4 linked regions of the Struthio camelus genome follow. The main gene of each other region encodes a partner of the protein of the gene in region 2 in a complex. Links are inferred from orthologs where the notes say so. Each region holds a gene or a part of one and is shown on either strand. Other genes may lie near its edges. The genes, in order: KNSTRN, PLK1, SPAG5 and MIS18A.

The links.
Region 1: PLK1 (region 2) and KNSTRN share a complex: the UniProt entries of both Homo sapiens proteins name them as parts of the astrin (SPAG5)-kinastrin (SKAP) complex. The link is inferred for Struthio camelus from reciprocal best matches to the Homo sapiens genes PLK1 and KNSTRN.
Region 3: PLK1 (region 2) and SPAG5 share a complex: the UniProt entries of both Homo sapiens proteins name them as parts of the astrin (SPAG5)-kinastrin (SKAP) complex. The link is inferred for Struthio camelus from reciprocal best matches to the Homo sapiens genes PLK1 and SPAG5.
Region 4: the proteins of PLK1 (region 2) and MIS18A are in contact, whole or in part, in a crystal structure (PDB 8S30), measured with the Homo sapiens proteins. The link is inferred for Struthio camelus from reciprocal best matches to the Homo sapiens genes PLK1 and MIS18A. Residues at the interface, in NP_005021.2 of Homo sapiens: Lys413, Trp414, Val415, Asp416, Asp419, Leu490, Leu491, Arg516, Asn533, Phe534, Phe535, His538, Lys540; in NP_061817.1 of Homo sapiens: Ser50, Met51, Trp52, Ser53, Ser54, Met55.

The regions. Positions count from the first base shown.
Region 1 is NC_090946.1:4,863,282-4,870,807, reverse strand, and holds the start of KNSTRN (small kinetochore-associated protein), read left to right. Parts: upstream 1-4,513; 5' UTR 4,514-4,577; coding exon 4,578-4,638; intron 4,639-4,814; coding exon 4,815-4,946; intron 4,947-6,114; coding exon 6,115-6,247; intron 6,248-6,399; coding exon 6,400-6,456; intron 6,457-6,686; coding exon 6,687-6,786; intron 6,787-7,526. Other genes in the region: DISP2 (protein dispatched homolog 2), read left to right, coding at 1-2,752. UniProt on the Homo sapiens protein: Essential component of the mitotic spindle required for faithful chromosome segregation and progression into anaphase.
Region 2 is NC_090956.1:1,058,327-1,065,240, forward strand, and holds the start of PLK1 (serine/threonine-protein kinase PLK1), read right to left. Parts: upstream 3,016-6,914; coding exon 2,632-3,015; intron 2,424-2,631; coding exon 2,255-2,423; intron 2,142-2,254; coding exon 1,997-2,141; intron 1,569-1,996; coding exon 1,475-1,568; intron 917-1,474; coding exon 697-916; intron 385-696; coding exon 226-384; intron 5-225; coding exon 1-4. Other genes in the region: DCTN5 (dynactin subunit 5), read right to left, coding at 6,244-6,264. UniProt on the Homo sapiens protein: Serine/threonine-protein kinase that performs several important functions throughout M phase of the cell cycle, including the regulation of centrosome maturation and spindle assembly, the removal of cohesins from chromosome arms, the inactivation of anaphase-promoting complex/cyclosome (APC/C) inhibitors, and the regulation of mitotic exit and cytokinesis.
Region 3 is NC_090957.1:16,565,713-16,572,772, forward strand, and holds the start of SPAG5 (sperm-associated antigen 5), read right to left. Parts: upstream 3,011-7,060; 5' UTR 2,950-3,010; coding exon 2,926-2,949; intron 2,613-2,925; coding exon 2,514-2,612; intron 2,262-2,513; coding exon 709-2,261; intron 581-708; coding exon 388-580; intron 1-387. Other genes in the region: RSKR (ribosomal protein S6 kinase-related protein), read right to left, coding at 3,553-3,777, 3,867-3,977, 4,061-4,149, 4,223-4,312, 4,394-4,421, 4,508-4,548, 4,698-4,805, 5,566-5,635 and 4 more. UniProt on the Homo sapiens protein: Essential component of the mitotic spindle required for normal chromosome segregation and progression into anaphase. Required for chromosome alignment, normal timing of sister chromatid segregation, and maintenance of spindle pole architecture.
Region 4 is NC_090942.1:119,787,325-119,794,733, forward strand, and holds the start of MIS18A (protein Mis18-alpha), read right to left. Parts: upstream 3,020-7,409; 5' UTR 3,005-3,019; coding exon 2,770-3,004; intron 2,646-2,769; coding exon 2,579-2,645; intron 2,223-2,578; coding exon 2,100-2,222; intron 870-2,099; coding exon 776-869; intron 60-775; coding exon 1-59. UniProt on the Homo sapiens protein: Required for recruitment of CENPA to centromeres and normal chromosome segregation during mitosis.

The sequences.
Region 1 (7,526 bases), on a different chromosome or scaffold from region 2:
CACCTACTTCCCTTTTGTAAACCTGACAGCAATTGTAATCCTCAGCAGCATCTGTGCCAATCATACCTTTGTCTTTTTTGACCTCTGGAACCTCAGCAAGAGCCAGAACCCTTCTGCTGGGCTTCCTCAGTGGGTGAGTCAAACCATGCACCATTTTGCATATCTAATGCTGGCATCTTGCTTCACAACAGGTGCTGCTTTCTATGCCAGCTACATTAGCAATATAATAGCCATCCGCTGCTTTGCTGTCTACATGGGCACCTCTGTACTGGTGAACCTGGTATTCATGATGACTTGGCTTCCTTCTTCTGCTGTCCTGTACGAGCGCTACATAGCAACAAACTGCATTTACAAGCCGGAAGACTACTGGAACAACACTGGCCATAAGAGAGTTATTGTCTCCCTCCATTACATTCTCAGGGGTCTCCAGAACACATTGTGTGAAACCTCCAAGCTGTTATTTGAGAAGCTTCTGCCTTGCGGGGTCATAAAGTTTCGGTACATCTGGATCTGCTGGTTTGCAGCCTTAGCAATAGGAGGTGCCTACATTTCCTGTTCCAACCCTAAGCTCAAACTGCCTACTCTTGAGACATCATCTGTTCAGGTGTTTAGATTGAGCCATCCTTTTGAGAGGTACGATTCCGAGTACTGTCACCAATTCATGTTTGAGAGGCTGGAGCACGGAGAAGGACAGCGTATGCCTGTCACAATAGTATGGGGCATTCTGCCTGTGGATAATGGGGATCATTTCAATCCAAAAAGCAATGGCACCCTAGTGACAGATATCACCTTTACAATCCAAAATCCCGATGCCCAGAAGTGGCTCCTCGAATTCTGCCAGAAAGTGAAGAACAAAACGTTCTATTACCCCGATGCTGAGCAGAAATCTACCGTGTGCTTCATGGAGGAGTTTCTCAGGTGGATGGACAGTCGCCAATGCTCCCAACGAGACCACAGCTTCAACCTCTGTTGTAACCAGTTCTCTTTCCCGTACGGAAGCGACGTTTTCCTACACTGCATCAAAATGATGCTCCTGGAACAAGGTAGGGAAGGGGCTGAAACATATGATCTGGGTCTCAGGTTTGACGGAGAGGGAAATCTTGCTGCCTTAGTGCTACAGTTTCAAACTATTTATCACTACAGCTTCAATTACAGCAAAGCCAAACATTTCTACGAGGAAATCAACCTCTGGATAACAGAGGAAATGAAAACTGCCCCCGTGGGGCTTCAAAACGGATGGTTTACCAGTAAACTAGAGCTATACAATCTTCAGCACAGTCTTAGCACAGAAACGATGGTGGTCATGGGGCTCTCCATAGCCATTTCCTTTGTAGTGCTGCTGCTCACCACTTGGAACGTTCTCCTTAGCGTTTTCTCCGTTACTGCTATTGCAGGCACCGTCCTGGTAACTGTTGGCCTTTTGGTCCTCTTGGAATGGCAGCTCAATGCAGTGGAATCTCTCTTCATTTCAGCTGCAGTAGGTCTCTCCGTTGACTTTACCGTGAACTACTGCATCTCCTACCATTTGTGCCCCCATTCTGATCGCCTAAGCCGAGTGGCCTTTTCCCTGAAGCAGATGAGCTGTGCCACAGCCATGGCAGCTTCTGCTCTGTTCTCTGCAGGGGTCATCATGTTGCCGGCTACCGTCCTGGCGTATAGGAAGCTGGGGATATTCATAATGATGATCAAGTGTATCAGCTGTGGGTTTGCCAGCTTCTTCTTCCAGTCACTGTGCTGCTTCTTTGGCCCAGAGAAGAACTGCGGGCAGATCCTTTGGCCTTGTGCCCACACCATGAAAGACTATTCTGATGACTCTGGGCTGAATGGAAGCTTTGCCTGTGGGGGAAGTGAGAAGCAAAACAGACTGCGTAAGGTCCAGGAGTCCAACACTGCAAATGAGCAATATGAGCTCCAGCCCTTGTCCAGAAAACTCAGTGACAGTTTTGACAACAGCACTTCCACAAGCAAGTTGTCCAATCGGCCATCAGTACTGTCTGAAGACACACAACTGGAAGACAACAGATGCCCCAGAACAGGAATGCACCCTTCTCTTGAAAGAGAAAGACAGAATCTGCAGGAGACTCTTGGAGACCAGCAGGTTGGTCTGTGTCAGTGCCCTGCCTTACAGACGTCTTCTCCATACAAGCACAGCAGCTCAGGAGCAGAAATTCAAAGGGAGAGGCTCTGTAGAGATTGTCAATGTCAAAAGTACGGTCCAAAAGCTTGGGACGAGTCTGTGCTGGACCACATCCAACTGGCTGGTGTGAAAGATGACGGGCAGCTCAATAAATCACAGTGCTCTAGTGACACTGCCCAGCAGCAGTCAGATTATACCTCAGACAACAGTCATCTTCCTGCTGCTGACATCTACAAAATTCACAGATGCCTTTGTTCTCTTGGCAGCTCTTTTGACATGCTCAACATCTCCAGTGAGACGTCAATTAGTGATTTTGAGCAAGGCCTAAAACTTGCTGAATCAGCCAGTTCTTGTCCAGATGTTTTAGAGCTGTCAGATTCATACAGTCAAACAGAAAGAGGTTACTTGAACGGGAAGAGAGATACCCTGCGGCTGGACCTGAGGGAGACTGTGTTTGATATCTCGCCAGTAGCATCACAGCAAAACAGCTCCTCATGGAAAAATCGATTTGGATTAGGGAGTGAAGATCCAGTTGTGTTACCAAACAGCCAACCAGATATGCCTGATGTTTGGATCAAACGATCTAGTGCACAAAATGCTGGTTACAGCAGTTGAAATTTTGCAGGAAATAAACCGTACTGCTTGGGAAAGGAGAAAGGCAAAATCTCCTCTGAACTGTAAATATCACATCTTTCCTCCCATTTCTCCTAGAGCTGAGACTATTTCTTAGCCGTGCAAACACCTGTGTTTTCACAGAACCAGCAAATCCAATACTAGTGAGGGGATCAATCTTAACGCAGTACAAGCTCTTTGACCTTCCAGTGTCCTGTTCCACATACTCAGCTGTACTGCAGAGCTTATCAAGTAAACATTCTCTGTCATTTCCTACAGGGTGATTAGATTTTGTTTTCTTGTCAGACCCATACAGGAGAGAAATACTGAGAGATGAGTCTCTCCAGATATTTAAAGACAGAGAAGTCATATTTAAAACATATAAATAAATAAATATATATATATATATATAAAATCTAGATATCAAGTGAAGAGAGTTGTTAACAAAAAGAAAGGCTTTCATTTTTTTCTACTGATTCCGAAACTGTTTTATGTGAAGTCTAGGTTCACAGATCTCTACAAAACACTTTAGATATTTCAAACAATCTCATCAAGACTTTTCACTTGATATGGTCTTTTACTGATCACGGAGGCTATAAAAATAAAACCCAGCCCAAATGTATTTTCAGTAACAATTTCAGTTTGTTTTACCAGAAGAAATTCCTTCTGGTACAGCCAAAGATTTTCAACGTGAGATTTTCCCTTTGAGAAAACAGTGTCCTTGTCCTGGGCGCTTTGTGTTTTGTCTTCATAGCTTGTTTCCAGTCAAGGTATTCTAGATAAACATGTAACTTTTTAAAATTTGCATATCTGACAACTCTTGAATTTTACATTTTTTTCTCTACCAGAAACAAACAGAAAAACAAACACTTCCTGGCCTTTATCTGTTGAAAGAAGAAAAACATTCTCTCTACAGGTTAACGTAAAATAAATGCGTATGACAAACTTTCCTAAATCTGCGTGATGCTTCATTTTCACCAATACCGTGGCTCATTTTCTTCATCTCTTACGAGTCTCATGTCTTTTGCAATATAATCAGCAAAAGGAAGACATGCACCTGAAGAGATTCATTCTTCTGACACCCACAGTCGTTTTGCCTGCTCTGTGGGAAAGGGATGGCGATTGCCAAAGGTAGATTAGGCATCTGCACTTTTACAGCTAGTAACCCAACCTGAAACATGTAACTGATTTCAATTTCGCTGAGGGGGTTTGCATTTTCGCGGAGCAGCTCTCACGCTGGGTGCTCAGCTCGGTATTTCGGCAAGCGGACCCGCACTCAAGCCGCGAAGCCAACACCAAGCCAATTGCTCTCCGCACAACAGCCTCCCCTTATTATTTGGAAGGATTTGCCACCCCTTTTGAAAGTTATGCTTGGAAAAAAACAATGAGAGCACGGAAGCAAGCAAGCAAACGGATTTTATAGAGGAGCCTCCTTCTCCCTTTCGGTGTGGGCCAAGGGGAGGGCGACTTTAACGACCCAAAGCGCTGAGGGGGTGGCCCCAGCTCCCCCCAGGGCACGGCCCGCAGGGCCCCCGCTGCCCCGAGTTCCCAAGCGGCGGGGCTCAGGCGGCGGGGAGGGCACCCCTGAAACCCTCCCCGTCAGAGCCGCCGCAGCGAGATGGAGCCCGGCCCCGCCAGAGCCGCCCCGCCGCCAGCGCCGCCGCCACGTCCCCTCCCCTGAGGCGAGAGCAGGCAGACAGCACGCGCGCAGCCCCACCCCCAACACAACGGCCCCCTGCCCGCCTCCCCGGCTTCCGCACTGCGCCTGCGCGCGGCGCCAGCACCACCGCCTCCGCGGGCGGGGCGAGCGCGCGGGCGGCGCCTGCGCATGTGCCGCGCCCGGGAGCCGTTAGGCGCCGGCTTGAATTCAAACGGGCGGCGCGAGCGCGGTAGGTGCCTTTGCGTTCTTGTGCTTCTCTCCCGTCTCCCCTCTTCTTCCCGCCCTGCGGTGGCGAGGGGGCGCTGGGCAAGGCGGGGCGGGGGGAGGGATGGGGAAATGGGCCTTGACGCCCGAGCGGTGCCGTACGATGCCTCTGGGTGAGGGTGTTTGTGCCGGGGCTTGCAGGCGAGCAGCCGTTGGAGAGGCGTCACCGGGCGGCGGCCGCTGAGGGGAGGGCCGGCGCGGCGCGGCGCAGGATGGAGAGCGAGCCCTCCCGCATCCCCGTGTACGGCGCGCTCCACCGTGGCGGCCCCGCAGGTGCGTCCCGGCCTGGCTCCGCCAGGCAAGCAGGGAGGGCGTGGCCCGCCTTGCCTTGCCCTGCCCCGAGGTCCCGGGCCCTCGGTGCTGGGTGTCTGCCTTAGGCCAGCGCAGAGGGCGGCGGGAGTGGAGGCAGCTTTTAAGGAGCTCCGATACTGCCTTGGTCTGTGGTGGCTGTTGTGGAAATCTTATTAAGAGTTTTTTGTTGTTTTTTCCTAACCTAGGCTACCTTCTGATAGAAATTATACACCTGCATCATCTCTGCTTAAGATTTTGCAGTTAAAATTTCTTGGCTAAACCTGTGTTTTTGAGGAGGGTGGGCTGTTACTATCAGAATCACAGCTGAGCCTTTTGAGATGACTGCTGGTCTGGTGCTGATGTTAGGCCTGCCGAGGGTGTATCTCCTGCTTATCTGGATGCAGTGGCTTTGTGAGGTTAAAAATACTTTTCTTCAGAGGCTCTTACTTCTGTAGGTCTTCAGATACTACTTGCAGCATTTTACCTGTTATAAGTATGAGGCACCTAGACTTAAAATTTAGAACATGAGAGCCAGTGTGTAGGAATAGAACCCCCCCTGCCCTGTGTAACTCTAGTATGAATTGGATATAGATATGCCATTTGAGAAAGGCTTAGCTCACAAAACAAGCTCTGAAAAGCCACTCTGTAAGCAAAGCTTTATTTACTCTATGCATGTATGTATGTGCTTTATGGCCAAATAAACTTTACATAAATAGCTAGTTCTCTTTAGAGTTATTTCAAAAGTATATCTATTGGAAATTAAAATACAAAGCTCTCTTACACTGAGAATTTCATGTGGGCTGTATATATTTGCTTTCAGTGCTGCACAGCTTTGCTTGGAACACTGTGGCTTGCTGTTTGCCTAATGTTGAGACCTCCTTTACTATCATGCCTGCATTATTGTTTTCAAGCTTTATCCTATTAGTGCTAGCCTAGTAATTATATTTTAACACTGTCTGCCATGAGCTATCTGTGGCTTGTTTTGAACCATGAGTAGAATTTAGTTGTTAGTTAGTTGTTGCTTTCTCAGTTCTAACCCTGTAAGATGTTTTTTTTTGTCAAACTGAAAGCTTAGTAGCTCCAGTAGTTTGGCACATTACAGTGATCTCTTGCAGACAGTGGTATTTTCATTGCTGTCTTTCTCTTGCAGAAATGCAAATGGTGTTTCCACCAAAGAAACAATGTGTCAGCAAAACAGCTGATCTACAATTTAGCAAGGATCCCAATTTTAACTTTAGCTCAAATATGCCGGGAGATGGTGTCTTCAAAGCTACAAACCAAGGGTAAGTGAAAGTGAAATAGTGATGGATTTGTTACTTGATAAATATCCTGAAAGTGGCTTAGCATTTTGCAGTTCTTCTCAAACCAGCAGACTTGGTAATCTGTAAATATGCAGTGTCTTTCTGTGGTAATAGTATTCTTCTTGTTTTTTAAGGCTTCCTAAATCTGCCAAGAAAATGGAACCACTTTCAAAAAAGACAGCTGCAAGAGGGTATGTTTTCTCAAATAGCTACTAGTTGCTCTAATGCAACAATGTTCCATCTCAAAGAGTTATGATGAGTTCTCCCCCACATACAGCTTCTTTTGGCAAGTGTACTGATGAAAGCTCTCTTGGTCATGAACGAGAGCAAATACTCAAAGGACGACACTTGGTGAAAATAAAAGAAGGGGTATGTAACGCTGATATTTTTGCACCTAAGTCTTTGATGTTTGACTCTACAGACCTCTAAGCAGATACAAATTAGAGACAGAGCTGAAGACCAAGAATCAGCTGTTAGAAACAGCTAAACAACAACTGCACTCCCGACTAGCAGGAGCACAGGTAAGGAGAAAAACATTAATTGAGCAATTCTTATATTCTGCCCTCTATAGGGTCAGACCAAATGCTTGCTTGTTATTCTGTCTCCATCAGAAGCTAGTAGAGTGTAAGAGTAGGCTGGATCTTTTCTTCTTTGACAGGTCCTAGCAGGATATCATTGGTCTATCAGCAGAAATGCAGATGTATTTGGCTAGATAATGCCAAATTATCCAGATTGTTGTTAAATAGTCATCAGTGCTCCAATTCCATCTTAAACTCATTGCAGGAGAACATTTCAAGTTCACAATTATATGCTTGCATAAAACAGCCTCAGTGTTGACAGATGCTCCCTTGTTACATTGTGAGAAACTGTAAACAATCTCTTAGTAATTACCACTCAAGACTTGGTCTGTTAATTCTTTCTTTCATCCTGACCTCCTAACATACTTCATCTCTCCTCATACAGCAGATAAGCTATTCAATTTTTTTAGATCATCCTTATTCCCTTTGCCAAATCTCTGCTAGTTCTGTTACCCCATCACAAGAAGCGTGGTGTGGGAACTGCATACAGTATTGAAGATGGGGGTTTTTCAGGAGTGTATATACCTGCATTTTAGTAGTTAAGAACTTGGATTTAGGTCACTGCTGGGCACTAAGAATTTGAGGGACACTGACATTATTCTTAGTATTACTAACTCAGTTAATTTGGTGTATGTAAGCTTATGCTTCTTCCGTGTGCTATTGTGCCATATTGTTAACTAGAT
Region 2 (6,914 bases):
TCTTCTGCCAAGAGAACAGTTTATTAGAAGACGTTTTAAGGCATCCTGCACATGGCAGTAAGCAAGTAAGGCCAAAAGGCAGGCAAGTAGCTACTGCATCACTTCTCTGCCTTCCAGTTTGAAGCCAAGGAGATCAGTTGGCCCCTCACTTTGAACAGCAGTAGAATGACAAAAAAGCAAGTTACCTAGGAAGGCCAGTGCTTGTGGGTTTGTCCCCAGGCTCACCTTGTCTCACAGCCACTCTCTCAGATGGCTTGGCTGAGTTGACTGCAGTCAACTGCTGTAACATGTCCACTAAGTGACAGTCAACAGCATCTCCCAGCTCCCGCAGCCCAGCTACATCATCTTTTTCAGGCAAGCTCTCTAGTGCAGGGCTGTCTGGTCCTGGGCCAAGAAAGAGAAGAGTGTGGAGGCATTACCAGGAAGTAGGTTTCTAAAGGCACCAGCTTTACATTCAACCCTAGCTGTAAGAAACATGTTACACACCATATAGCTAAAGCTAGTGCTGACACAGCCCAGACTCAAAGCAGGGAGGAGACCTCCCATTCACAGTGTACTCCAGCTTTTCATGAGAGTCATGAAGATGTGAGGCAGTATCACATTCCCCACCAAAGGTCTGGATATTGCCAGAGGCCAGGTAGGCTTTCAACCAGCACTGCAGCGCACAGCCCTCGGCTCCCAGGTGCTTGCGCTCACCTTTGTTGAGTGCAGTCAATGGCTTTCGCCCATTCAGTTCAAGCCCACTGGGAGCAATTGAAAACCTAGGTGCGACGGTGAGACAACTGGTGGGCAAGCGGTTAGGGATGTATCCTGATGTGAAAAATTCATCATTCAGCAACTCATCGATAGTTGGGCGTGTGGCAGGGTCAGACCTCAGCATCTTCTGGATGAGGTTAGCAGCTACAGGGTTGATGTGCTAGGAGAAAACAGAGGCAGAGTTAGAAACAAGAAAAGTCAAGGAAAAGTGTGCAAAAGGAGCAACGTGCACAGGGTGTGCAACATGGGGACAGCTCTTCTCAAAGCAGAGCTCCTGTGCTGCAGCAGGCACACAGGACGCCAGCCTGGGGAAACAGAACAGCTCACCAGCACCTGTACAATCTCCTGGCAGAGTTCAGAGCTTTAAGTCAACTGACTAGCAAGACTGAACCAACAGTGGAATAGAGCAGGGGGACCTGGTCCAGACCTCATCTGTGGCTGGACTTGAGCAAGTTAGTTTACCCCATGGCCTTTTCCTCCATGTGCCAGCTGCCCAGCTCAGATTTTTGATATGTCAAGGAGGAGCTGCTGGCTCCTCAGTAGGAAGCTGACCCCACAGGTCTGTTCTACCACAGACTGAAATATCCCCTTCATAGCACTCAGCAAGGAGAGCTGTTTCACCATTCTGCAAGAGCTCATTAAGTGTCAGAAGCAGAATGCTGCAGAAGGCAACCAAAACCTGCTGCAAGGTTGAGTCCACCCACAGGAAGTGCCATACCTTGGGGATGGTATATTCATTCTTCTTAATTCGGATATAAGTTTCCTTTAGACAAGAGGTTTCAAAAGGTGGTTTCCCTACCAGCAGGGTATACCTGTGTGTTTAAGGACATAGAAGTGTGTCAGTTTTGTATGAGGCAGCCTGCAGGGGGACTACAACACCCCTGGTCCAGAAGCAGCCCCATCCTGAAGTGCCTCCTGTGACTTCCCAATGACTTCCTTGTTCCCTCTGCCAGGAAGAGCTGGTACAGCAGGCAGAAGTATTATTTCTAGCTCCTTCTCCCAGAGGGGGGGAGTTGGGATTTTGTACCCCTGGAGAAAGTTCTGGTTAGGAATAAGGGCTTTTGGGAAAAATACCTCAAGACAGCCCCCATGTGAGCATATTAGCCGAGCAGGTCTAACAGCAGTGCTCAGCCAGGGTGGGTGCTCTGGAGACAGCATGCCCAAAGCTTCAGCTTATACCAAAACCGCCAGGAGACCTGGAGCACAGGACAGCCCAGTCATGGGGGGTGCTTTGACTCACATGATGCAGCCAATGGACCAGATGTCCACCTCAAAGCTGTGCCCCTTCTTGCCCAGCACCTCTGGGGCAATGTAGTTGGGGGTCCCACACAGGGTCTTCTTGCGCTCTCCATCATACTCCACTTTGGTGGCCAGGCCAAAGTCACCTTTGAGACATGAGGAAGATGAGCACATAAGCCAGAGGCCCCCACACTGTCAGGGACCCCCTGAGGTCGGGGTCCCTGCTGTGGCAGGGGACACTTGCGTCACAGGCACCTACCAATCTTCACCTCCATCTCATCGCTGAGGAAGAGGTTGCCCAGCTTGAGGTCGCGGTGGATGACGCGGTGGCTGTGGAGGTACTGGCAGCCCAGGATGGTCTGGCGCAGGTAGTAGCGCACCTCGGGCTCGCTCAGCGCCTTCCGCCGCTTGTGCAGCTCCAGCAGCGACTGCGGGAGGCCGTCAGTGTGCCGGCCCCCGGGCTGCCCTGATTCCCCGGCCCCCCCAGAGCTCCCCTCCACCTGGCTCCAGGACACGATCCCCCCCAGACTCCCCCTGCCCCGATTCCCCAGAGCCCCCGGACCCCCCTGCTCGGCCCCAGGGCACGATCCCCCCTCAGACCCCCCTGCCCGGCCCGGAGCCCTCCCAGCCCCTCACCCGGCGGCGGCAGAGCTCCAGCACCACGTAGACGAAGTCGGCGTCCTCGAAGAAGCCCTGGAAGCCGACGACGTGGCGGTGCGCCAGGCTGCGGTGGATGGCGATCTCCATGGACATCTTCTCCTTCTGGTGCGGCTTCACCAGCAGCGACTTGGGCACCACCTTGCCGGCGAACACCTCGCGGCTCTCGGCCTCGGCCAGCTCGTAGCAGCGCGCGAAGCCGCCCTTGCCCAGGAACCGCCCGCGCACGTAGCTGCGCCGGGTCCGCGGGTCCACCAGCACCTTCGGCACCTCCTTGCCGCCCGCCGCCGCCGCCGCGCCGCCCGCCCGCCCCGGCTCCGCCGCCCCCGGCGGCCGCGCCGCCTTGCCGCCCGCCGCGCTCATCGGACCGCGAGGGCGCGACCGGGGTCGGGGCCGAGGGGCAGCGGAGGGGCGCGGAGCCGGCGCGGTAACCCCGGTGCGGGCGGGCGGGCGCGGAGCCGCTGCGGCGAGGGTCGGTGCGGGCGGGCGCAGAGCCTGCGGTGCGGTGCGGGCGGGCGCAGAGCGCTGTGGCCGCCGCGGCAACACTGTAACAATTTCAAACGCGGAGCCGGAGCGTTACGCGCGCCAGGGCGCTCCCCATTGGTCGAGAGGATTTAAAATCCAAGCGCCCGCCGCGACGCACCATGGGAGCGCGCCCCCGCCCGCCGCGTTTAAAGAGACAGGCACGGCGCGGCCCGGGGGGCGCGGGCGCCGCCTGGCGGCCGGGCGGGGCGCAGCGCGGCGCTGTCCCACGCGTGACCGCGGCGCAGCCTGGGCCGGGCCGGCTGGGGGGAGCCGCCTAGTGGGACTCGGCTCGCCTGCCCCGTCTGGAGCAGCTCACGTGGTTTCTGGCGTCCTTCGAGGACGCAAAGGTGCATGTGCTCGGCCCCCTGGGGCGACACGCCAACGTGGGGCTGTGGGGTGGTGGGGCTTCCCCCACCTCGGGGATGGGGAGCGCCGGGTTGGTGGCCCCACGGGCAGCCCGGCACCGCTGCATTCAGCCCCAGCAGCGTCCGCCGCCCTCGAGACCGCAGTCACCGCGTGGGCAGCAGCGCGAGGAGCACCGAAATATGGAGCGGGAGAGGCGGCTGTCTTCCCGTTTGCTCGGGGACCCTGCTCCGGAGCTGGCCCCCAGCGGTGCTGGCAGGGGAGGCCGCTGGGCTCCGGACGCCTGGTGTGTTCAGCGTTGTCACATCAGGCGCTCCCCAAGGGCCCGCGTCCCCCCGGCACACGGACACCCTTCCCCACAGGACGCCGAGGGCCGGCAGGCAGCCGTGACGCTGGACCAGCGCCGAGACCGGAGCAGGGGACGTGGTGCCTGCGCCGCAGCCTCCCCGTCCGCCCTGGGAGTGGAGGTACCTCCCATTTTGAGCTGAAAAACTGGGAAAAGAGGGCAAGTTGTTGGCAGAGCTCTCTAACAGACTTGTTGAGGTCAACCAGACAGGGCAGTTTGCCATCCACCTTAGCAGAGGCTGAAACCATCTTTGAGTTATAGATGGAAGCTTTCCGTTGTCTAAACGTCTCCCACAACAGCGTGGAAACTTCATTTACTTTTTTACAGTGCTTAATACTGCCACTCAGATGTTGATTGCTTTTCTGTGTGATAAAAGCTCTCATTAGCCTGAACTCACACAAAACCCTCCTGGCAGCACAGCACCGATATAGCATTGATAGGACACTGCAGTCAACCCTTCAGCAGAGTTCTTTTTTACCTGTTTATTATTTGTGTGTACAAGAAGGGCTCAAGAAAGCACAGGGGGACAAGTACAAGCATGCAGGTTCTAAGGGGATGACATATAATTGAGAACCAGCTCACAAAGACTGGGGCAGCATTGGACAATATTGAAATACTCAGAATTCCTCAAGGCAGTGTTATGCACGTCTATAGTTGTTTGAATCAATACCATCATTTGTGGATTTGGGAAGTCAAACAGAAATTATAGACACAAATACACAGACGATACCAGTTGCAGAACTGTCCTCCCAGTAAGGAATGCAAGTGTATTTTGTTAAGTGCATTTGGAGGGGGTTACTTTTACGAGAAACAGCCAAAGGTGACGTTAGTTTGAATCCTTTTCCCCCCGTCCTGTGGGCTGTAAGCAGCTTTTCAGTCAAGTCCTTCTAGCAGACTTAGTTTAAGCATTTTTTTGGAAGGGAAATTCATGTTACAGTTTGTACTTAGTTTTTTCTGTGAAAGAGAAATGGCAATTAGACAGCTCCGTTCCGTGCACATTTTTGAGACTCCTCCAAGCCAAGACATTGCTTGTTCATATATGGCCGCATTTCTCCAAGAACCTGGTCATCCTGCTGATTTTTTATTCTGTGGTCTCACATATTCCTGCTGTCATTTTCAGTTTCTCTTGTGGCACCTCTCCCTTCCCTCTCTGTCCCGTGGGGGTGAGATTCTGACAGCTGAGTGAAATTGTGCCTGACCTTGTTAATGACTTTTTCACCTTCCTCGTCCCAGTCACCACATGGGATACTATTTAGGAAAGAAAATAGCAGCAATGGACCACATGTGCACTAGGGCCTGGAGAGCTTGTTCCTGTAATCTAAGAACACCATCTGTTAAGAAAAATAACTTTAGTGTATGTACTCACCCCTTAATCTGATTTTGCTGCCTGCTGGCTCAGAACAAAACACCAATGAACAATAACCAAGAACGGCACAAGAACAGGTCAGCTGTAGCACCTTAGGCCATGAGCCTGCTCTCTCCCTCCAGGCATGCATGGTCATACGCTGAAGCCAGGATGAGGACACAAAGGAGCAGCTGGATCTCCCCCCCGAGCACTGACTCAAAGCATCATGTAAGTGTAAGTATGCAGTGGGAAGGTCTGGCTCTCGGGTGTTTTGTGGTCCCGCAGGTTGGCAGAAGTTTGGCTGTGGGAGCAATGCTGTGCAGCAATGGGGAGGGTGAGTGGGCTCAGAGCACGTTCCAGCCAAATTCCAAACAGATTGTGTTTGCTGCACTGGCTGGTCTCACTCAGCCAGTTACAGTGAGTACAGTTACCCCTGATTCTAGTAGCAGGCAGGTATTACAACCACCAGCAGATGACGGTGGACACAGAGTAAAAGAGAAGCGTTCTGAAGCCCCAGTTTTACATTCCTGAGGACTTTAAATGCCCCACATAAGAGTGACCAACACAAATAGCATGTCCCTCCAGTCTTGGTCAGAGCAAAGGGGAGTATACAGGACTGATGAAGCAACATAGTGGTTTACTGTTTGAAGTGATTGCTTTTTGCCAAAAGATTCTTGAAAGAAGGCATTCACATTGCCCTCCCCATCCCTTTGAGCATCATGCTTCCCCACGCACCTACAGCTCCTCTTTGGCTGTGCAGCAAAGCCCTCTCTTGGAAGTCACGTTTCATTGCACTTCACTAAACTGAATGTTGACATCAGAAAACTACAATTCCCAGGGGCTGTAGAAGCATGCTGCAACCTACTGATACTCCATCATTCCAGAGAGCTGGCAGAGGTGTAGAGATGAGCCCAGGTCAGAGTGATGCTTCAGAGGACAGGAGGGTAAAGTGACCAAATCTAAGGAATGTTAACATTGCTGAGTATTTGAGATCTTCAGTGGTGACTTGTTTTTAGACCCTGGCAGAGGCCACCTTAACAGAGACAATAAAACAGGTTTTAATCAGCCTGCTAGAAGGAAGACAAGGCTGAGAAACGTGTAAGTGGCTATACAGTTACATATCCCTCACTGCACTACAGCTGTGCTGTTCAAGTGATGATGGAAGTACATCATTCCTGAGACCTTTCCAGATGCAGTCCCATTTCCTCTCTCAAACGCATATCCCTTAACTCAGCAGCCCTCCCTCCACCCCTCCTCCAGCAGCCTAGCTTCATGCTGCCCAACTGTGGTCGTTAATCAAGCGATCCCAGTGAAATGTACTATGTAGTGTTAAAACTTTGAAGTGACACCATGGCAACACAGCACATATAGGCCCTTCCTGACCAAATACAGTGCTACTTCACACACTTCAAGAGACAGCTGATAGCAAGTTAACAGTGCAAAGTAGTACGAATGAGTGGCAGTATAAACGCCTAAACATCTGACATGCATACAATCTTGCAAGAATCTCCAAGCCTGTGAGGCGTGGTGACTGAGGCAGCCTCCTACTGCTCCTTACAGCAAATGGCTTCTACAAGGGTCAGTCAAGATTTTTGACAGGAGGAGCTAGTCATATTAGCAATTGAAGTCAATTAGGAAGCTGCCTGTAGTACAAGTGTCAGCAGCGCTTACAGCTTCATACTT
Region 3 (7,060 bases), on a different chromosome or scaffold from region 2:
CTGCATCAACGCTGCCCGCTTTGCGGGGGCAATAGCATCTTCCCCAGGCCTGCTGCCCTGTTTCCCCCCCCCAGAACAGGCTCGTGTTCAGCAAAGTCATCGGGTTCAGCAGCGCGACCTGCGCGCAGCCAGGCGCGATAACTGGGAGAGGCAGCTGGAGCGGCGGTGGGCGCGTGACGCAGCGGGCCCCTGCCGCAGCAGCCCGGCACGCGCGTCCCTGCTCGCCCCGCTTTACTTCCGCTCCAGTTGCGCCCAGCGCGACCGCCCGCTGCACTCAGCTGCGGCCCCGCCAGCGCTGCGGGCGACACGCGGGCACCGCCGCGGCGCCGAGGCTCGCTCCCCGCTCGGGGCGCGCACGCTCGGCGTCACCCCGGCGCAGCCCCTTACCCCTTTGGGGTGGGTGACGTCCGTCTGCGTGAGCGCGTCCCTCTGCTCCGCCGGCCCCACGCCGGGAAGCGGCCGCTGGTTCTCCTGCCAGTCGCGCAGCTGCAGCGAGAGCGCCTCGATGATGATGAGGGTGCTCTCCAGCCGCCCCTCCAGCTCCGCTCGCGGCAGGGACTTCAGCTGCTCCCGGGGACAGCTAGGGAAGGAGAAACACCTGAGGGCCCGGCCCGGAGCAGGGGCACCCCGCGGGTGGGGTGGCCTGCCGATGGGGGGGGACCCTGGGACAGCGCATCCCTGCAGCTCCGTTGCTGCACAGGGACTTACTGCCAGAGCAGAGAGTCCGTTTCGGCAGCACTGTCCTTGGCACAAGCAGGCCCTTCTGCAGACGTGTTCGTGCTCCTCTCCAGCAGGTCCCGCGGAGTCATGAAGGTCCCGGTGGCCACGGCGGGCACAGGGGTGATGCTGGTACCGACGTCCTGCTGCAGCGTGGGCAGGGGCAGGCTGTGCCGCAGGGACTCCAGCAGAGACGAGGCGTTGAGGCTCTTCTCCAGCCACACCAGTGGCATCACCCAGGACACGGCACCTGGGGCCAGCTCAGGCGAGGGGACAGAGGTGGCCGCAGGCTCCGGCCCTGCAGGCTCCAACCCACCTGCCTTGGTGGGAGAGGGCCCAGGGGGGTCCTGCCCCGGCGGAGAGGTGGTCGGGGACGCAGATCCCCTGGAGGAGCCTTTGCAAGGTGGGGGACCAGCATCCCCGTCACTGTGCAGGGGCTCGGGTGCCGTGGGGCTGCAGGAGAGGTCAGTGGGCGTCGTGGGGCTGCAGGAGAGGTCGGCGGGCGCCACTCGCCACCCGTGGAAGGGGGCTTCCTGTGGGGTGGAGCTGGTGCCGGGGGGGCCCAGGGTGCAGGATGCTGGGGTGGTGCTGCCTGGGGAGCCCAGCGGGGTCCTGCCATGGGGCCTTGGGGTGCAGGACACTGTGGAGGGGCTGCCAGGGGGCTCTGAGGTGGCGTTACCAGGCAGCTCTGGGGTGCAGGGGCCTGCAGGGGTGCTCTCAGGGGGCTGCAGGGTGGCACTGCCAGGGGGCTCTGGGGTGCAGGACCCCGTGGGGGTGCTCTCAGGGGGCTCCAGGGTGGCACTGCCAGGGAGCTCTGGAGTGCAGGACCCCACAGGGATGCTCTCAGGGGGCTCCAGGGCCCTGGTGCTGCCAGGGGGCTCTGGGGTGCAGGACCCCACGGGGATGCTCTCAGGGGGCTCCAGGGCCCTGGTGCTGCCAGGGGGCTCTGGGGTGCAGGACCCCACGGGGATGCTCTCAGGGGGCTGCAGGGTGGCACTGCCAGAGGGCTCCAGGGTGGCACTACCAGGGGGCTCTGGGGTGCAGGGCCCCATGGGGATGCTCTCAGGGGGCTCCAGGGTGGCACTGCCAGGGGGCTCTAGGGTGCAGGACCCCGTGGGGGTGCTCTCAGGGGGCTCCAGGGTGGCACTGCCAGGGGGCTCTGGGGTGCAGGACCCCACGGGGGTGCTCTCAGGGGGCTCCAGGGTGGCACTGCCAGGGGGCTCTGGGGTGCAGGACCCCACGGGGGTGCTCTCAGGGGGCTCCAGGGTGGCACTGCCAGGGGGCTCTGGGGTGCAGGGCCCCACGGGGGTGCTCTCAGGGGGCTCCAGGGCCCTAGTGCTGCCGGGGGGCTGTGAGGTGCAGCACCCTGGGGCAGTGCTGCCAGCAGGCTCTGGGGTGGGGCTGCTGGGGGGCTCCAGGCTGCAGGGCCCCGGGGTGGGGCTGCCAGGGGGCTCCAGGGTGGCCCTGGTGCTGCTGGGGGGCTTTGGGGTGGCATTGCTGAGGGGCTCCGGGGTGCATGGCCCTGGGCTGGCACTGTCATGGTCCTGCAGGACACAGGGCAGGGGGATGTCAGCACTGCCCCTCCCCAGTTACCCCCCTCCAGCTGTTCCCCCAGTATCCCCAGTTCCCCACCCCAGTACCGCCAGCTGTCCCCTCCACCATCCCTAGCACCCCCCGCCATTGTCCCCTCCCCCAGGTCCCCCAGCACACCCTGCCACCCCCGGCTGTTACCCCCCCCGCAGCGCCCCCACCCCCAGCTGCCCCCCGTGTCGCCGGTCCCCCCCAGCACCGCGTACCTTGAGCCGCAGGCGGCGGAGCAGCGGCGTGAGGCAGGTGCGCTCGGCGCCCGGCTGCAGCCGCAGCTCCCGCAGCGGGGCGCGCCCGGGCCGCCGCGCCTGGGACACGGCCGTCACCGCGGGCACCGGGGCCGCCCGGGCCCCGGCCCCCGCGCACCCCCCCGCCCGCGGGGCCCTACGGGGCTGTACTGGGTCCGTGCACCGCGAGGCCTCACCGGCACCGCCGTCCCGGTACCGGGCTCCCCCACCCCCGCTCCCGGGGCCTCCCCTCCACCGCCGCACCGGCACCCCCCTCCCAGCCGGGGCCCACGCCGACCGCCACTCCGGGACGGGCCCTACCGGGGAGGACACCCCCCGACCGGGACCGGGACCCCCCCAACAGACCCCCGGCTCAGGACGCCGGGGCACTCACGGCGGGCGGCTGCGCAGCTCGCATGGCCCCGCTCGCTCGCTCCCTGCCTGCCGGTTCGGATCGGCTCGGTCTCGCCGCCGCCGCCGCCGCCGCTTCCCCGCGCGCCGCCGCCGGGCCCCGTTTGAAAACCACGCGCGGCTCCTATTGGCTGCGCCGCCCGCGCGTCACCGCGCCGGGGGCGGGGCCTAAGGCGGGGCCGCGGGGTAAGCCCCGCCCCGCGGCGCGTCGGGGCGGGGCGGAGGCGTTTGTACAGCGCCGAGCACCGGGCGGCCGACGGCGCGGCCGGGCCCCGCGGGCGGAGCGGCCGTGTCCTACCCGTGCGCGGCCCTCGCGACGCGCCTTCGCCCTCCCTCCGCTGCCCGCAGGGAGACGCCTGCTCCGGAGCATCCTGCTCTGGCCTCCCCTCCGGCGCGCCAGGCGACTCGACTCCGGGGCAGGGGGTGATGCCCGGCGGTCTCTGGTTTATTGCTCCCGCCGAGCGCGCGGAGAGGTACGGCGTTGGTGGGAAAGGGGGCACTGGCACGGCGGGGTCCGACCCGGTGCCGGAGGGGGGTTTTTCCCTGAGTGATGGCGAAGAGGGCCCAAGCGCCAGGCACGGCCTCCGGCTGGCAGGGCCCAAGCGCGGGCTCAGCCAGGCCAGGGCCGGCCCGCAGGGGCGGCGAGGTCGCAGTCGAAGTCGTCGAAGGTGACGGCGGCCTCGGGCAGGGGCTCCTCCACCGGCCGCGGGGCCACGGCCGCCTCCACGGGGTCCTTCTGCAGCAGCTCGGCGTCGAAGGCCATCCCCCGGAAGAAAGGGTGGCCCTGGAAGTGGTGGAGGTAGCGCAGGCGCCGCAGTGGGTTTCGGCACAGCAGCTGGGGACGGAGGACACTGAGCCACAGGGACCCCGGCGTCCGGGCCGGGGGGCCAGCGGGGACCCCGGCGTCCGGGCGGGCAGGGGTACCTCTGCGAGCAGCCGGGCCAGCGCCGAGCTGAGGGCACCCGGGCTCTCGTAGCTGCTGCAGTTGACGCGCTCCAGCATGGCCACGTGGTCCGGTGCTGGTGCCACCGGGAACTGGGGGGGGGGGGGGGGGCACGAGGCGGTTTGAGGGGCTCCCCGGGGCGCCCCGGTCCGCCACTGGCCCCCGTGGCACTCACCTTCCCGCTGGCCAGGGCGAAGAGCAGGACGCCCAGGGACCACCAGTCAGCGGTGTGGCCGTAGGGGCCCCCGCTCAGCACCTCGGGAGCTGCGGGGCCAAGGGCAGCGGGTGAGTGCCGGGGACGGCCGTGCCCCCCGCCGCCCCCCTGCCGTCCCCTTACCCATGTAGTGCAAAGTGCCGCAGATGGTGCGCGCCCGCTCGCCCCGCCGCAGGTGCCGCGAGAGCCCGAAGTCGGCGAGCTTGAGGTGCCCTGCGGGGCGACAGGGGCAGTGTCGCGGCGGGGGCCCCGGGGCGCAGGCCGTCCCCGCACCCGGCACTGCCGGTCTCTCACCTCGCTCGTCCAGCAGGATGTTCTCCATCTGCAACGAGACGGAGGCCGGGCTGAGCCCCCGCCGCCCCGCGCCCACCTGGAGCAGCCCCCGCGCCACCCACCGCTCTCACCCACCTTCACGTCTCTATGCACAATGCCGAGGTCATGGAGATAAACTGGGGGAGAAGACGGAGCCCGGTCAGCACGGTGGTTCCCCTCCTGCACCCGTCCCCACCGCCGGCGTGGGGCCACCCTGCAGCGAGCGCGCGCTCCCGGGCCACGGCTCACCCAGGAGGCAGGAGGCCCCCGGCCACAAGCCACTCACCCAGCACCAGCACCAGCTCAGCGGCGAAGAGGCGGACGGTGGCCTCGGCAAAGCGCCCGGCGGCCAGCCACCGTGCGTGCAGGTCTCCGGTGCTGCAGTAGGTGCACACTGCAGGGATGGGGCGGCCAGGCCTTACCACCGGGCTGCCCCGCGGCACCATGGCCACGTAGGCACCGGGAACGTGCAAGAACCGGGGCCATGTGGGCACCAAAGTGACAAAAGCACTAGGGCCACCTGGGCACCAGGGCCAGGGACTAAGGTGATGTGGCACCAGAGCCACACAAGTACTGGAACCACGTACCAAGGTGACATGGGCACCAGGGCCACCTGGGCACTGGGAATATGCAAGCACTGGGACCACACAAGTGCCACAGTGACAAAAGCACTGGGACCATGTGGGCATCAGGGCCATGCACTAAGGTGACATGGGCACCAGGGCCACCTGGGCACCGGGAACTTGCAAGCACTGGGGCCATGCGTACACCACAGTGACAAAAGCACTGGGACCGTGCAGGCACTGGGGCCACACGGGTACCGAGATCGCTCAAGCAACCGGGGCCACCTGAGCATCGGGGCCAGGTGGGCACTGGGGCTGGAGCAGCTGGCTCAGCCCTGCTGCCAGCCCTTGCCCGGCCCTGTCTCCCCCCTGCCCGCTGGGGGCTGTGGCCACGGTGCCTGCTGGAGGGGGACGGCGGGGGGAGAGGCAGCCGAGCGTCCCCTGCCCGCCGGGCGGGCAGCAGGGGAGGCGTGCGCGTGTGCAGGGCGACACGTGTGCGGGCAGCTCCAGACACGTGCGCCCGCACGCAGGGCCAGGCGGGGGGCGCGGGGGGGCCGCTCCAGCGAGCCCGCGGGGCAGATGGTCACTCACTAATGAAGAGGTGGCGCTGGCCCTGCCAGCTGTCCCCGAGGCAGTGAACAAACGGGTGCCTGACCTGTCTCTGGGGATGCAAAACAGAGAGGGTGAGTGGCCCCCAGGGTGGGGGCCCCGCTCCTGCTGCCCTCCCGGGGCACCCTGAGCCCCCTGGGCGCCCCGTGACCCCGTCCCCTGTCCCCCTGTTTCCCCGCTACCTGGATGCTCACTTCCTCCTTGCACTGCTTGAGGGTGTCGCGGCGCAGCACCTCCACCTTGGGCACGACCTGGGGGCGAGGGGCCGTCAGGGAGGTGCCTAGGGTGGGGGGGCCGCCCCCGGTCCTGCCGGCAGCACCCACCTTCACGGCGCAGACCTTCTCCCGCCCGCAGTCCAGCACTTTGAGGATGGTCCCGAAGGAGCCTTTGGCCACGAAGCCCAGGATCTAGGTGGGGAGCAGGGCCTGAGCACCCCGCAGAGCCCCCGCGAGAAGCCAGGAACGGGACCACCCCAGCACAGGGCTATGCAGGGGTGCGGGTGCCCTGCAGCAGGGACACCCATGCACGGCTGGGGCACGCGGGGGTTCTGCTAGAGGGCAGGGGCACCCTGATAGGGGGTGAGGGGCAGGGCACAGGGTACCCAGGAGGGTGCCCAGGCACGGGGTGAGGTGGGGGCACGCGAGACCCCCAGCATGGGCGCATGGTGCCCCACAGGCACATGGGGAACCTCGGCACGGGGCGCAGGGGGGGGCACGGGGATCCGGCAGGGTGCACAGGGATCGCGGTAGGATGCATGGGAACCCCCGCTTGGGACACACAGGATCCAATAGGACACTCAGGACCCTATTAAGGTGCACGGGGACCCTGGTAGGAGGCGCAAGGACCGACATGGGGTGCAAAGGGACCCGGTGGGATGGTGGGGACCCGCCACGGGGTGCAAGGGGGACACCGGTGGGATGCAGAGGGAGCCGCCACGGGGTGCAAGGGGGAACGCCGGTGGGACGCTCGGGGAGCCCGGTGGGACGCTCGGGGGCTCGGGACGGCACCTTGAGCTGCTGCTGGCGGGCGGAGGGGCGCACGGGGAACTCCGGCAGGAAGAGCGAGGCGAGCTGCGGCCCCCCGGGCACCGGCGGCTCCTCGGCGGCGCAGCGCGCGACCAGGGCTCGCCCCGACCCCGGCCCCGGCCCCGGCCCCGCGCGGCCCAGCAGCGCCCGCACCCACGGCGCCACGGCGCGGCCCTGCGGGACGGGACGGGGGCAGGGGCAGAGTCAGCGCGGGGGGCCGCGGTCGGCGGGGACCCCCGCGCCGGCCGGCACCCCCGGGGCCGCCGCCGCACGCACCTGGGGGGGCCGCGCCGGGGCCGGGGCCGGGCCGGGGCCGCTGCTCGCTGCTCCCATCGCGCCACCGGCCGGCCGGCACCGGGCCGGCCCCGTTAATCCGCCGCTTTACATAACCCCGCGCAGCACCGCCCCGCGCCGCCGCCCCCCCGGCCCCGGCGGCGCGCCCGAGCCCTCCC
Region 4 (7,409 bases), on a different chromosome or scaffold from region 2:
GCAAAACTTGATTCAACTACAGTCAGCCTCGCCTCCAGTGCCTTTAGTATGGTGTCTGCCTATAAAGTAAATAAGGAAAGATACTTGGTACTTCACAAAACAAAGAGCAAGCACTTTCTGACATGTATGCTAGAAGTCAATCATGTGTTATCAATCCTATTGGATTCTTTTCCCACTATCTGCACAGTCTAAAAGTTCAGTCAATTCTAATATGACCTCTCAGCACTCTCTAGAGTCTGCTATAGCTGTCCTCTCACTTTGAAGCAAGAATTCCACACATTCAGCTTCTGCTATACAAATGGCAGCTTTCAGGGCTAATCTGGTTATCGTATGTGCTCTCAGCTCTCCCTATCCACAGTCAGGAGACTTCTAGAGGAAAGTATCCACTCATATTTATTATGCAATACTTCAATACAGAACAGCAGCAAAAGCAGTGAATCCGTTTACATGAAGGATAGGATTCTACAGAAAAAATTTGATTAAATCAGTCTTTAAAAAAAAAACTGGAGAAGCAAAACAAAGCTACAAGAGGCAAGCAATGGTTCAGACTTCTGACAGAGATAGGAATCTATAGCTGTATTTGACAAATAGAAATGCTTCTTAAAATTATAATCAAAGTCTTACCTAACACAAAATACTAACAGCATGAGTGTCACAGAGTACAGTAAAAATGCACAGAATTGGGTCCAATTGAGACTATAGCTTGTTTTGTAGAAACTAAGGATATGAAGATTCATCTGAGGTACACAACAAGCGATGTAAGATTAAACCTTACCCTTTCTAGTGCTTCTTCCAAAACAGCTCGACTCTCAAGAGTTACAGGCTCCTCATCAGTAAGAGCTTGCTTTTCCGAGGATCCTAGAACGTAACTGATATGCTACAGTTTAGATCATGCACTTTCTGCTCTGAATGCAAAAACAAACATAACTCATTCATTGTTCTCAGTGATTACAAGACTATGATTAATAAGTTACCAAAGCAAGAGCATGATTCAGCAACAAAATCCATACTTAGAATCTTGCAAACAAACTATAAAATGGAATTAAAGCAATTTTAAGCTCAGAACTACTAAGATACCATCACTGTATAACAGTTGGAACTCCAAAAGACAATCATGAGTTCTGATGCTACAGCGTAAGGTGAAGAGTTATTCCAACATTGAGGAGACTGTTGTACTAGCCGGAACAACCAGTCATCACCATTATTGCCTACCCTCCCACGCCCCAAAAAGACATTTTGGGACCATGGTACAATCTTTCAGAGAGCTTTACTGCCATGGAAGAGGCAAAGCAAAAACCCACCATTGCCTGAAAGAGGGAAGAGAACATCAATACAGATGCAACAAAATACACTGGAACTTAATAAAAAGCAGAAATGCTAAACTTAGTCCCAGGGAGAAATAAAGGTGAATTATCCAAACATTAACAAAGTAAGAGCAATAGAAGCACCCCGGTACGTAGACTTAAAGTATTCACTAACTTCATCCTGAATTAAGACCTGCTTCAAGTGCAATAAACCAAATAAAACCAATACAACGGCACATCTTCAGTTTCTAGACAATCGAGTATAAAAAAGTTTGTGCACCGTAAGAGAACTGCAGAACAGATACTAAGAACCTCAATTACACAATGAGTGTCAGGATTCACTTTCACCTTTTTTCACACCTAGACAGGTTAAATTCTACTTCAGGCCCTGTGCCTATCTTTTCTTCTGATAATACTTACTTCTAGTAGCTTTAAGTTAGGCCTATTCAGTACTATTTGAGAGAATAAGGTAGTTTTATGCCAGCTGGAGTAGAGCATCTACATACTCTTTTGATCAGACTAGAAGTAACGCCCATATTGCTTACCTAGTGTTACTTCTGTGCTTGGTATGCAGTTTCTTATACAAGAGAAGACCCTGGTATTTCTATTTTTCTAATGTTTTTTTCTAGTATTACACAGATGACATTTCTATGACTTCAACAGTACAATGCTGGCAGCAGTAACACAAAAAATTACCCTGGAAAGAGATAACTACCTCTAGATATTCCAGTAAAACTAACAGCAGCAATCCATATAAATGATACCTAGAGGCATCCCTAAAAATGCTACCTTTACCTTTCAATGGAGTCAACACTGAAGCAGAACAAGTCTCTCTTGTAGTCAAGATGCTTTGGTGTGCACCTGTAGACATTGCCAAGTATCATTGAGCAGCCAGAGCAGGACAAAGTTTCAACCATGCTGTAAGGAAAACATACAGCATTTATTCAAAGGGGAGGGGGCTTTCCCCACACCTATTCAAAAACAATTCACCTGCTTGTGATCTTCAGAGGATTCACTCTCAAATGCCACACTGTAACTACGAACATTTATCTTCCAGCCAAGGTTCCCAAAGCAGACCCTCAGCCCGATGACCTCAGCAAGACTAAGAGGTAAACTTTAGACAGGCCACCTGGAGGAGCTGCTCTAGGCCAAGGCCCCCCGGCCTTCCTCAGGGACGGCGGGGTGGCAGCACCCGACGAGCCGCTCACCGGGCCCCTCCTCGGCACCTTCCCCCGCCCCGAGCCGCCCACCCCCGCCGCGACACCGGGCCTCACCATCCGCACTCGCCGGGCCGCTTGGAGAGCTTCTGCTCCTTGTCCACCGAGACGCTGGCAGACGCATCTGCGCGCAGGTGGGGAGGGAAGAGGGACCAGCGGTCACCAACGGCCGCCCCCAACGGCCGCCGCCTCGCGCGCGCGGCGGGGGGGGGGGGGGGGGGGGAGGGAGGGGGCAGGGCAGGACTCACTGCGCAGCAGGATGCAGCCCGCCTCCTCGTCGTTGGTCACCCAGCTCAGCGTGTCGCCCACCGGCCGCTTGCAGCCGGCGCACAGGAACACCATGGGCAGCAGGTCCTCGTCCGCCCCGCGGCCGCCCGGCCCCGCCTCGGCCGCCGCCTCCCGCGCGCCGTCCGCCTCCAGCAGCGACAGGGAGGAGTCGGGCCCCGCCGCGGCGCCCGGCGGCGCGTACAGCGCGCCCGCCATCGCCTTCAAGCGGCCCGCGCCGGAAGCGGCAGTGACGCCGCCCCAAGAGCCGAGGCGGCCGCCCCGCCCCCGCCCCCGCCCCCCACCCTCCCCGGCTCCCGCCCCGCCCGCGCGTGAACCCCGCCCACACGGCGCCCCGCATGCGCGGCCCCGCCCTCTCCCCCTGGGCGCGCTCAGGCAGCCCCCACCCCCACCGCCGCCCTGTTGCGGCCGTTGGCGCCGCTAACGGTCGCGGCGGGCGGCTGGCGGGCGGTCGTCGCCGTTGCTGCTGCCCTCAGCTAGCCAGGCCTGCTGTCCTCGGCCTCAAGATACGTCGAGAGGCACGTTGGGAGGGGCCTGAATGCTCTAGTGACGGGGAGGCGAAGCAAAAAGGCTTGCTGCGGGTTTGGAAGGCCGCTGGTTTTGTCCAGTCTGCCGCATTTTGTTGCTCGCGGTTCAAGTGATGCCCCAGTGTGCTCCCCACTGTAGAGGGGTGCCGAGAGGCCCGATGTGCCTCCGTGCCGCCCGCCAATCCAGGGACTGGGCCTGGGTGAGCAGCCCTGACTTGCCTAGCCCTGACTTACCCTGTAGCTTTTAGGAATGCAGGTAAAAGTTCACTGAGGATCTGTTTCTCTTTTAAAGTGAGAAATTTTGCTAACTTTGATGAAGCAAGTATACGTGTGTGTTTGCGTAGACACTGACAGTGCCGTGGGCCGAATGCACAGGGCAGTTCGACTACCTTTGTCTTGACTGGGAGACTATTTCTCCATCCATTGCTTTTGGGTGGGGGAGGGGAATAAAAAAGTGCCAAAGCAAAATATATGGTTATTTCAATACATTCTTTATATCAGAAGTATTTTACCAGTTCTTACCTGCTTTTTAGGTCAGCGGAAATTCAGAAATTTCTTTCAGCTCAGCTATTTTCAGTGGGTCCAGAATATGTTTCCTTGTTGCTAGTTTCTCCCATGGTTGGAACGCAGTTGGCCTGTGTCCATGCCATTCTTAGTTTACTTTATATCCATCTCAGTTAAAATATTCTGAGGAATAACATAATTGCCCGCCAGGAAGAGAGGATTGTATTTAAAGGCTGCTGTTACATATCTGTCCTACATTAATGTTCCTTTCTGCTAAATGTTTTTTATTATCAAGGCAGTCCTTGAGCTGCAGGACTCCAGAGTGATTTACATAGGCATCAGTTATGCAATCTCTTTCTGAGGGCGCTGAAGTACAATGAAGCAAAGTATTTGGTTGGAGTTCTGAGCTGATTTAAAATGCACTACTGAAATGGCTAACAGAACAAACTCATCGGAGTATTTTTGGTCTTATGAATATTATTGGGATTATATAGATCCAATTCCAGTAGATGGAAGGAAGTTGAAGGTTAATAAATGTAAGTATTGTAGAGTGGTAGATGCTGATCTACTACAGGAAAAATGAGTTGGCAAAATATTGCATAGTCTCTCTGACTTACTTTTTTCCTTGTAATAGATACCATGCTAGCTTATTTGTACGTGGTTTGAATGGATGAGTGTCTGTGTTCCAAACTATCTTAACTTACGTACTGATAGCAATTTCTACTTATACTGAAGCTATTTGATTTATTTTACGGTATTTCAAACTGTAAGACTGCTGACATTAACTCTGATTTAGAGGACGGATTTTTTTTTTTTTGACCATTTGCTAAGTAGAGATCTAATGACATGCAAATCAGTATTTTGGGGTGTTCTTTATCTGCATGCTACCATCAGAAAAGATGACGGAATGAACAGATTTGTTCATAAGACTATAGTGTTTTCCTCTTGGAACATAAAGCTTATGCTAGAACTGATTTAAACACCGTTAGAGCCTTGATAAGAGAATAAGTTTATGCTTTCACCAGCCAGGAACAGCAAACTGAAAACATATTCTATTACTTTTTTCCCTTTGAGCTTTTATTTGGCATCCATCTCTAAGCAATCCTATTGATTTTTGTACTAAACCAAAAATAATGTATGAGAAAAGCTATGATTTAGTACTCCTGAACTGTAAGACAATGTAATAATACACATTATTGTCCACATACATTATGATCATGGAAACAGACTCTGCGGGTTTTAAAAGTTTATTTTCAATGGATATGAAATAACATTCACCGAATCCAGTCATATTAACAAAGTATCGGACTGTTAATTCTGTTGCATGCTTGGTTTTACACAAGGACATAGTGATGTCTTTTTTGGTTACTTAACAGGGAAGGTCGATTTCTTTCCTCTTGTAATTGCATTGGTTTGATTTTGATAAGATAAAATGACAATTCATGTCATGAGGGATTAATGTAACCCAATATAATTGGACAGAGTTACAATGATCTAGGGAGAGCGGGCAGGCATATCTGAGTCACTCAGGCTATAGGCAGTATCTCCCTCCCATTTCTGCCAAGTCTCTATCTATGGTATCCATCAAACAGCTATGGACATTGCTGGTTGCTATGTAGTTTACCAAAGACTCTGATTACCCAGGTGTGGTTTCACGGACCAAAATAGCTTTGAACAAGGTCATTACAGTGATCTAGTCTGTAAGGAGTACAGGATACTCTGCCAGAACATTGTCATGTCTTTGTAATTAACAGTGCCAGAAACTGCCTTGTTGACAGTGAAGACTGAACCGGACAGTACAGGAACGACCGTTCATACCATCCACTTGGGGCATCTAGCTTAGGTGCCTGTGCTGGTAGCTTGGTGTCTTTGACCTTGCTGTATCGTCAGCGGAAACACTTATTTCACGTTGCCTGTGGAAAAGCTCTGTTTCCACTGAAAGGATATGTGGCAAGGGACACATCTGGCAAGGGGTGTCAAGGACAACAAGAAGGGGTTCTTCAAATACATCAATAGCAAAAGGAAGACTAGGGAAAATGTGGGCCCGCTGCTGAATGGGGCGGGTGCCCTGATAACAAAGGATATAGAGAAGGCAGAGTTATTGAATGCCGCCTTTGCTTCAGTCTTTACTGCTGAGGCCATTCCTCAGGAATTCCAGACCCTGGGGACAAGAGAGAAGTCTGGAGAAGGGAAGACTCTCCTTGGTTGAGGAGGATCAGGTTAGAGATCATTTAGGCAAGCTTGACATCCACAAATCCATGGGCCCCGATGGGATGCACCCCTGAGTGCTGAGGGAGCTAGCGGATGTCATTGCTAGGCCACTCTCCATCATCTTTGAAAGGTCATGGCAATCAGGAGAGGTGACTGAGGACTGGAAGAAAGCCAATGTCACTCCAGCCTTCAAAAAGGACAAGAAGGAGGAGCCAAGGAGCTAAAGGCCAGTCAGCCTCACCTCCATCCCTGGAAAGGTGATGGAGCAGCTCATCCGGGAGACCATTTCCAAGCACATGAAGGACAAGAAGGTGATCAGGAGTAGTCAGCATGGATTCACCAAAGGGAAATCATGCTTGACCAACCGTATAGCCTTCTGCGATGGGATGACTGGCTGGGTAGATGAGGGGAGAGCAGTGGATGTTGTCTCCCTGGACTTCAGCAAGGCTTTTGACACTGTCTCGCATCACATCCTCGTAGGCAAGCTCAGGAAGTGAGAGCTGGATGAGTGGACAGTGAGGTGGACTGAGAACTGGCTGGGTGGCAGAGCTCAGAGGGTTGTGGTCAGTGGTGCAGAGTCTAGTTGGAGGCCTGTAGCTAGGGGTCAGTCCTGGGTCCAGTCTTGTTCAGTGTATTCATCAGTGACCTGGATGAAGGGACAGAGGGCCTCCTCAGCAGGTTTGCTGATGATACTAAACTGGGAGGAGTGGCTGACACACCAGAAGGCTGTGCTGCCATTCAGAGGGACCTGGGCAGGCTGGGAGAGGTGGGCGGAGAGGAACCTCCTGAAATTCAACAAAGGCAAGTGCAGGGTCCTGCACCTGGGGAGGAATAACCCCAGGCACCAGGACTGATTGGGGGCTGACCTGCTGGAGAGCAGCTCTGTGGAGAAGCACCTGGGAGCCCTGGCGGACAACAAGTTAAGCATGAGCCAGCCATGTGCCCCTGTGGCCAAGAAAGCCAATGGTATCCTGGGGTGCATGAGGAAGAGTGCTGCCAGCAGGTGGAGGGAGGTGATCCTCTGCCTCTACTCAGCCCTGGTGAGGCCTCACCTGGAGTACTGTGTCCAGTTCTGGGCTCCCCAGTACAAGAGAGACATGGCGCTACTGGAGAGAGTCCAGCGGAGGGCTACAAAAATATTTAGGGGACTGGAGCGTCTCTCCTCTGAGGAAAGGCTGAGAGAGCTGGGCCTCTTCAGCCTGGAGAAGAGAAGACTGAGAGGTGACCTCATCAACGTGTACAAGTGTCTGAAGGGGGAGTGTCAAGAGGATGGGGCCAGACTCTTCTCCGTGGTGCCCAGCGACAGGACGAGAGGCAACGGGCACAAACTGAACCATGGGAAGTTCGCTCTGTGAGGGAAC